Coturnix japonica: one gene and its partner. The protein of the gene in region 2 purifies or fractionates together with the protein of the main gene of each other region. This does not show direct contact. Links are inferred from orthologs where the notes say so. Each region holds a gene or a part of one and is shown on either strand. Other genes may lie near its edges.

The links. The genes of interacting proteins can lie anywhere in the genome.
Region 1: the proteins of METTL9 (region 2) and SLC39A10 purify together in Homo sapiens (co-immunoprecipitation; 3 studies listed by BioGRID and IntAct, with this or other methods). This does not show direct contact. The link is inferred for Coturnix japonica from reciprocal best matches to the Homo sapiens genes METTL9 and SLC39A10.

The regions. Positions count from the first base shown.
Region 1 is NC_029522.1:490,868-495,867, forward strand, and holds the start of SLC39A10 (zinc transporter ZIP10), read right to left. Parts: upstream 3,050-5,000; 5' UTR 2,954-3,049; intron 1-2,953. UniProt on the Homo sapiens protein: Zinc-influx transporter. When associated with SLC39A6, the heterodimer formed by SLC39A10 and SLC39A6 mediates cellular zinc uptake to trigger cells to undergo epithelial-to-mesenchymal transition (EMT).
Region 2 is NC_029529.1:8,386,910-8,391,286, forward strand, and holds part of METTL9 (methyltransferase-like protein 9), read left to right. Parts: intron 1-541; coding exon 542-726; intron 727-2,730; exon of another isoform or gene 2,731-3,118; coding exon of another isoform or gene 3,119-3,157; intron 3,158-3,379; coding exon of another isoform or gene 3,380-3,463; intron 3,464-3,742; coding exon of another isoform or gene 3,743-3,799; intron 3,800-4,377. Other genes in the region: IGSF6 (immunoglobulin superfamily member 6), read right to left, coding at 3,119-3,157, 3,380-3,463, 3,743-3,799. UniProt on the Homo sapiens protein: Protein-histidine N-methyltransferase that specifically catalyzes 1-methylhistidine (pros-methylhistidine) methylation of target proteins.

The DNA of each region.
Region 1 (5,000 bases), on a different chromosome or scaffold from region 2:
TCTTCTCAAATAGAATGGAAAAGACTAACAGTACTCTCCTTGACATTATTTGAAAGGATCAATGAACAGACTGAAGTTAGAAAATGAAAGTCAGTATCTTTTATGTCAATCCCTGCCAATTTTTAACCTCCGCTTTAATGATTAGCAGTATTTACTTATAACCAAGACCTAAATGAGCCATAAAAGCACAGCTCTTCTAAAGCTAGATTTCAGTCAGCAACTTGCGTCAACTTCCCCGTTTCTGGCACTTCTATCACACGTACAAGTGGAAATGACAAATTTTAAGTGAATGCAATTCCTCCAACATCAGCAGGTGGAACTGGAAAGCCAAGTTGTCCTTAGGTTTCTGTTCTACCCGTTTTGAATGCCTGAGGAGGGACTATGCAATTTCAGCAGTGGAGGGGGAGTTATTAGGATCTACTAGGGATATACTTCAATAATGTAAGCTTGAATGGACAGCAGACAATGCTGTTGTGATGCCTCATCCCTTCTTTATCATAGTACTCAAGCCTGAAAGGGACATCCACAGAGAAGACAAGAACATGAACTCTCAAAGGAAAAAAACCACCAAAAATCATGTTTGCAGAAGCAACCAAATTATGAATGGAATATTTCTCATGCCTGTTTGTTTTTAAGTTTACTATACCAGTAGCACAACGTAAAACCAGCAAGAGGACTCTCCAACTCAAAATTATTGTCTAACTGTCCTTCTGTTTAGGGAGCACAACTGACTCATAAAAGAGTGAGCTTACATTTTGCTGCATTGATCCTTCCATGCCTGATAATGGCATATATAGTACCTGAAGGCAGGAGATGGATGCTGGCCTTCAGGGTCCCAGCAACTTTAAAAATACACCACCTCTCTTTGAAATGCTGGTTTGTGCTGAAGTTGTTGTTGCGTTGGTTCCTCCCACCCTGAATTTTTCATCATCAATGTAAAATTTGTTTCACTTGTATTCTGCAATGAGAAAGCATGTTAAAGACCCTGATTTCTAAAAATTAGGAGGTGGATTATGAATCACATTAAGAAACACCTCAATTTCCAAATCTTTCACTGCAAGCGTTTAACAGCACTACAAGCTGTTGCAGCTTTATTTTGCACGTTGCTGCCCAAAAACTCTTTGCACAGTTGGATCATAACTACAGTTTTAATGACACAAGTAGGAGTGTGAATTTAAGCATAAACAGCTATGGAGAAGAAAGTAAACTTCAGTTGAGATACACAATGATGCAGCACTGGCATACACAGAACATGGCTCAAATGACAAGAAATGTGAAAATCTGAGATGAATGCCTCTGAAATTACACGGAGAAAATGTTCCTGTGAATAGACACAGATAAAAGCTGGGAAGAGAGGCAGAGCAATGGGAAGGCCCTGCTCCTTTGCCACTTTTCAGCTGTATGACTTCACAGCCTGACTTGATGACTTACATAAAACAGAACTCCACTGAGACTGAGCTATAGCACCAGAACAGAGTAATGGTGATGAATACATCCCGTTTTCTGTTAGAAAAGGAAGAGAGGATTAAACCACATCCTCAAATGAGCGTGGGACTAGACAGGCTGCTTGTGGAAGAGGGAACATTGCACGGTCATGCATCTTTGCTGACATATCAGATGATGCATTTGGCAGGTGTAAGAGCATCGTGAGAGCTCGGAGAAGACTCATGAGTGGGAATGCCAGTAATCGCGTAGAAAGACAATAATGGCTGGGTTGAAATAGCATTAATTACAGAGATAACAAACGGACTGTCAAACTCAAGGGAAGCAAAAAAGCCTCAAGCAAGACTGATGCCAATTTTGACCACACTGAAACTGAATAAAAAAGTTATGCTTGAAAATACTTGATTCCATTCATAACATTTATGTTTTCTACCTCTCTCAGATAACCTTCCCTTCCTTTATACCTTACCCTCCCCTTTATAGCTGAAAATTCATTCCTACAAACACAAGAAGTTTGCCATCGTGGAACCACTAATAAAATAACTGTGTGATTTCCCAAGAATAGCATACAAGACTGAATTCACACAGCATTGGTACAGCATTTGGAAAAGATCTTTAAAACTAAATGGTAGGCAGACATAAGGTGTTCTTCACAATGAGCAGTTATAAAGTAGAGCCTGTAAAACTCTGTAACAGCGTGTTTTCAGTAATATTTTCAGAATCGTTTTCCTATTGATTAAAGGTAAAATATATGAAAGACAAATCTGACAGACTAAGTGCAAATAAAATTTAAGTTCTAAAAGCCCTTAATCTACCCAATTTCCAATTTACTTAAAAAATGAGAGTTAATTTTTGAAGCGCAACATAGCATCCTTAGGCAAGTAAATACATAACGACAAAACTCCAAGACACTGTTTCTTAAAACCAAGTAGGAGCTAAAAGTAAAGTTGGTACTAAATAATACTTCACAAGGAAGCTAAGAATATTTCAGAATATTACTTGAAAAGAGACTGCTCAGGGTTGCACAGGTCACAGAATCACAGAACCTATTGCAGTCGGGGTTGCCCACCACTAAATCAGGTGTACCTGGTTAGGGCCAAATTCATTGCCAAATTCCCACATAAAGCAGAGGCCAGATTCTAGGAAACACTCATCCTAAAACCTGCTGACAAGCTTATCTCAAATGACTTGAAGTACCAATCTGGACGATGCAATTCCAGGATAACATTAAGTACATACAGACTATGTCAAATTCATAGCATAGGAATGACTGGAATTCCTTGCTGTCATTCTGAGAGAACTTCTGGTTTAATGTAATTTACACTCCGTAACCTATAATGAAGGCACATTCTTGTTGGTCCCACCAATATAGACAACATTAACGATATCACAGGTACCGATAATTGGTAAAAACAGCCTTGGTTATTGCAACCTCTAAAAAGCAGTGAATCAGAAAAAGAAATGCCAGTCACGTGCCCCCTCCCCGTAAGGAGCAGATCCATCCACTTACACAGTGCCGAGTGCCAAATTCATCATGCAGGGCAGCAGTGTCTGATTCTTGTCATTTTCCTCTTTCTCCTCTTCCTCACTTGCATGGCCTATAATCACTTCCCTGAATGTGAAGAGCTGCTGTCTATGCAGTTTCTTTTTAAAGAGCTGAACGTGCAGGGTTTTTTTATTTATTATTACACTGAAATTGAACTTTGAGCTAGTAAAACCAATATTATCACAATGCTGTCGTCCTAAAACCAGAGCTGCTGTTTTCACAGGAAGACACTTCAAATCACTTCACAGAACGTGGGGCTGTTGAGCACTGAGGCATGTGCAGTGCAAAAGAGCCAGATAGTGCCAACAGAGAAGCAGCGGAGGGCTGCTCTTTCAGAGGGTATTGCTGAGAGTTTTCAGTCTAATCCAAAACTTAATGCAGAGAAAACTGATTTTTGCAGGAGCGAGCAGGGTGTATAGAAAGCAGTGCGTCTCTTTCTTTCGAAACACCGTTTGAGTCACACTGCATAACAGCACGGAACAGCATGCATCTCACAAGTCAATGGACTCCTGAGGCAAAACAGAATCATTCCTTATGCTAACATAATATCCTCAACAGAGATGTTCCCTAGACAGGTAAACGTTCACAACAGACCGCTGCTATTTAGTGCTACAAATCACACAGATATATTTAAGAAGAACTGCTGATAGGAGCTCAGATGTAAAGCTGAAGCTCTGCCACCTCAACTCACTGGCACTCCTCAGCACAGGCCTCCAAACTGACTGACCAGAGACTGCAGTCATATGGCACTTCACATTGCCTGCCTGGGGAGGCAGAGGACACAGAATACTTCTGTGTTCTGTCCCTGAGGTACTGATGTGTTCTAAAACAGCTCTCCTTCAACATTACACAGGAAGAGATGGTTTGAGAAGGGTTTCCTATTTGGTGCCTACACAGTGACACACTGCCACGGTGCTGCTGAAGCTAACATCCGAATAAACATAGCTTCTCCTCTGTGGACTTTGTTTGCTTTAGCCTGACATTGTTTTCAGGGCATTTAAAGCTTAGTAATAATATTTATGCGGTCCTGAAATTCTCTTCTGTTTTCGGAAGAAAGAGGGTTGTTAATATAAGTTCAGAAAGGAAACAAAAAATGTTTTCATTCTGTTTCACCGTGTCATGTCCTTGAAGAAGCAAAACCAGATACCAGCAACCTCCCACAAAAAAAAAAAAAAAAAAAAAGGAAAAGAAAAAGCTGAGCGCTAGAGCTGTTTTAGAGAACTTATTTCAACACAAGTTTCATGCCTTTAAAAAGGGCTTGAAAGGGTATCACTTAGAGATATCCAGAGCAAGACCATTCTGCTAAAATACTTTAAGCTAAAATGTAATCCAAATTAGTCTTAGCTACTGCAAAGCATCCAGAGACTGAAAGGCAGGAATGATTACTGACGTGCTTAAGAACCAGGAGGATGATACGTAAATGATAGAATTTTCTTCACTGTGCATAGGCTCAGAACTTCTTTGGCAAAAACCAGCTTTCCATCTGATAAATTCCTAAGCCCACAAAAAAATGTTCAACAGGGAACAGCAAGTCCTGTTCAGACAATGGGATGTGACTTGCTTCCCCCCACCCCCCATTGTGCTGATGGTTGGTAAAATTCCAAGAGAATGTGGAAGAAAGATTACTTGGTTTCCATTCCCCTAAGGCAATAATCTCCCATGGTCACTGAAGAGCCTGAAGAAGGGCTGGTTTTCACCATGCACTGAAAATGATGATAAAACAAGTTTACAGAGGAACACAGAACTTACACTTTGTCAGGCTCCTATTCAGGAGTTTAAATAATGTTTCCAGGCTTACACAGGCCAGGATTTGCCTGGACTCAGATGCTTAGTAGCCCTTTCAAATCAATGGAAATGCAAATATGCAAAGAGTGAGGCACAGGCTCCAGGGTATTGATGAATCATGTCCTTTGCATGTCACAATCACATCTGAAAAATGTGGTGGTGACTCTACACCGAATTAGGCAAAGCGCACTGGCAGTGGAAGGCAGAGCTTGGTGAGACATGAAAG
Region 2 (4,377 bases):
GCTATTAAGATTAACAGTACTTTGAACAAAAACTTAATCACTTTCAGAACTTTGTTGTGCTCTAATCACAACAGCTGGAAGTTCTTGTAGGCAGCAGATCTTGTTGAATATTGCTTAGTGTCTGGGGTACTGTATCCCTAGACTTCAACACAAAGAATGAAGGAACTGTTGATTTCTTCTTCCCTGTCCATAAGAGGAAAATTAATAGCAACTGGGTTTGCACACTGGTAAGTCAGGGTGGTTTAAATGCTGCAAACTATTAATCACATTTCAGCTTTGTTGTTACTTTTGAGAAGTATGTTCAGTTTTAATTTAGGACATCAGACTTTAATAATACCCTGGTGTTTATATGGCAGTATGAAGGTGTGGCTGAATGTATAGCCATGCCTATTGTTGAGTAGTTTTCCATAGGACTAGAAGGACAGCGTCTGCCTTTCCTCACTGCCTGGTTGGCTGATCTTTCTGTGCTATCAGCACATCAATTGGGAATTTTTATCCTCAGTGATTCCCTCTGAACTTGGCTCTTTTTCTCTCTCCGTAGGGTGCTTGGTATAAATGAATGGCAGAACACAGGATTTCAGTATGATGTTATCAGCTGTTTGAATTTGCTGGATCGTTGTGATCAGCCACTGACTGTATTAAAAGATATTAGAAGTGTACTGGAGCCAACTAGAGGCAGAGTCATTCTAGCATTAGTTCTGCCATTTCACCCGTACGTGGAAAATGGTAAGTACATGGATCAGTAGCTATTTAGGCAACTAAAAACTTTTGTATGTGGCCCTATTCTGAATTAAATGTTTTTAAAATAATTGACATGTTCTTATTTGACTTAGTTATAACTAATTTGTAGTGTGCTTGTTGAGAAGTATGAAATGATAGGTAAATAGGACACATGAGGTAAGAGCCGTGTTCTTAATTCCCCAGCATACATTGTTGGCACCAACAAAAAGCTCAGATATTGAAGTCACATATCCTGTTCTGCAGGTTGCCACATTTGAGCCGTGTGGAGCAACATGGGAAAACTGTTTTTCTATATGCCATTATACACTGGGGAAGGAGGGGGATTGAGACAGGCAAAGGAAAAAAAAAAGTCTAAAAAGAACATAATTTGAAGAGATGCTTGAAGCATAGTATTTGAGCATGTAGTTCTAAACTATAGTGTGTCTTAAATGAGTTTCACTTATGCATCTGTATGGTATTTTCAAGTATGTTTGGTTGCAGCTATGTTCCTACAGTGTAGGACTGTTTCACTTCTTCTGTTTAGAATCATAGAATCATAGAATTGCTCAGGTTGGGAAAGACCTTAAAGATCATCGAGTCCAACCACAACCTAACCATACTACCCTAACAACCCTCTGCTAAATCATATTCCTGAACAATTTAAAATTATTTTATATTCCAAATAACAGCATTGTCTCACTAGACATCCATGAGTACGTTAGAAGCAGAAACTGAGGAGTGATTTGTATGTTTGTGTTATTTGTGTGCCTTCAAAATGTCATTGTGTTTTGCAATCACTACTGTGCCTAGGACCTACTCTTCTACATGTTGGGTAACGATGCTAGACCACATGTAACTTCCTCACTCACCAGAAGGCTGGTGAATTAAGGAAGAAAAAAATACTTCAAGTCAGTTTATAATCCATCATTAATTGCCTGCAGCAAACTGGGAATAGAACAGGATGTTAAATTTGGAAACCCTGAAGAAGTAGAAACCTGTTCTCTGGTTGCTGATCTTAGAATGGATTTCAACTTTGAACAAGTAAGAACAGCTAAGACAGCCAGTAAACCGAAGTCAAACTTTGGTTTATTCTGGCAACGTGTAGTTGATTAGTCATAAGTCTCAGCCAGTGCAGTGATGATGTTTTGTGGCTGTCTGTCCTGCAACATGTGACGGATTAACTTTAGTGTGCCTTTACCAACTGGAACAGCCAGAAGTGATAAATATCTACTGAAACTTCAAAACACATAAGTAAATGTGTAAATGTCTGTTTACCATTGTTGTGAATATGGGCCTATATAAACTTTTCTGGACAATGCAAGTTACTAAATGCACAAGTTATTGGCATTCCACTAAAGCTTTCCTACTTACGATTTATTCAGCTATAGTCTAAAGAAACAGTGAAGTGCCATTCTGTGTTCATCACATATGAAAGATTTTAAATTTCACTGTTTTCATTCAGTTGTTCTACAAGATGAAGCCTTAAATGTCACACATGCACACAGGCTTCATGATAAGAAGAAAAATTGTATGGAGCTTAGATTGCTCCTTGTATCAGCTAATTTAAAAGATTGAACTTGCTTGGGGAGATTTCTAAAGTGGGGAACAAATGGAGCAGGGGTGAGTCAGGTAAAGATCAGGTTTCAGAGTAGGAGATATGAAACATCTGGATTACTGCACTTGTTTGACAGCAGTTGCAGGAAGTGTCAGTGTGAAGCTTGTTCAGAGAACAAAGCGAGGTGGAGTGGGAGGTAACGTTTCTGTTTCTGGAATTACAGTGACACCTAGAGTCCAAAGTTGCTTAATCATAAATTAAGCTTTTCACAGAAGTTTTGTTTTCAACATGTAGAACAAGTAATGCACTTCCTGCTTATATATGAATTTATTGAGTAAGCTGTATGAATCATTCGGTATCATAAAAAAACTTGCCCTTGTGTGACTAGTCTAACGTGGTAATTTTTCATCTGTGTATCCACTATAACTATCACACTAATATGACTGAAAACTGAATGTCACTGCGTAATGAGTTTATTTTGTTGCAGTTGATTAACGTACATCTCACAAAAATGCACAGTTCACATAAAAGAAATGCATTGAAATTCATGTTAAAATACATAAAATTACACATAAATTGAAAGGGGAAGTTTTAGTGAAGCATTAGCAGTTCTCTTCTAAAAGATGAAGTCTTCTCCCACTGTTCTTGTGGCACTGGCAGTGATGTGTAACAGACGTAACGCTGGTTTTGATGATCTGTTCAGAAAACACTCCTGAAGAACTGCCCTGTTCAGTTTTCTTCTTCGTTTTTAAAGGAAAATAAGTCTGTGAAAAAGCTTAAATTCTTCATCAGCTCCTTTGGTTGCATCAAACATATTGAACAAATTGGAGATGCAGCACATCCTCATCTGTTCTGATAAATTGTGTCATCCTCCAAATGATCCTATGGAAAAATGTACAAGTGTTTATTTGCTGCTGCAGATATTTTTGGCTTTTTTAAAATGCAGAACTTCCTTTTTGAGGTAAATTCCACCCCTTTACTGTTCCAGCAAACTTCTTCCCTCCCCATTTATCAATCTACCTATCTGGCCGTATGTATATATACGTATAAAATGTACAAAAGTTTATGTATGTGTTTATCTACATGAGAAGAACAGACACTTACGGGCTGGTGGCAGTGCTGAGCGTGCTGCTGCTTTTGAAGTTCTTGGGCTATTGCTCGAAAAATTTTTCGTCCGCTACTGATTTTCTGTAAATGATTTAAAACATGTTATGTTGGTGCTACAGCTGAGGTTGGAAGAAGCATCTTTTGCTACGTTTTTATAGTTGTAATTGTTTTCCCCGTGTGTGTCTTTGGGGAAGTTACTAAATAACACTCCAGGAACTTATAATTTGGCAGCTCAAAGTGTTTAAATTAGATGAATACTACATCTCTTAACGTATGTACCTTCTTTAATGGATATTTAAATAGCAAGTACGGATTTTATTACTCTCTAAAGTATAGATAAAGCAGACGGTGATGACGTACACAGTTCTCTGTTCTCTGCCCTTCATTCCCACTTCTATTTAGCAGCTTTTGTTTTAACTGGAAGGAGAGGGAAGAAAAAAATGATTAAAACAAGGGATGATTTAACAACAAAATAGCAGAATAAACTGAATAGATTTGCTTATGTACCACTGAAAAAATGAAGGGTTTTCAAACATACAGGGCCTTTTTTGTTTTCCGGTATTAAATGATGTAAATATTTTTACTTTGAGTGCAACAGAACGTGCCCAAAGCACAACCTGGTTGTCAAAAGTAAGACAGCAGGTTTTCTCTTAGTTAAAAAGGCATGGTTGATTTTTTTCTTCCATGGAAAGTCCATATTTGCATGTCCTGCTGTTATATGCACCAGTTTTTCTAATGTCTGTGTTCACACAGTGGATGAACACGATTTCTTTATGCAAGTAAAGTCAGTTTACTAACCTTTCAGCTCACAAATATTTTGGCATTGAATTTAAATTATTTTACTTCTAATAGAAGCCAATCCAGAGAGTTAATGACTTGCGTTGGTAATTTCTAGCTCTACTTTTTGAGTGTGCATTAATGCAGTCTTCAACCTGCTGATTAATACACTCAGTATAATTTTAGCCTTATATTTAGAAAAAAGGAAATGTGATTGC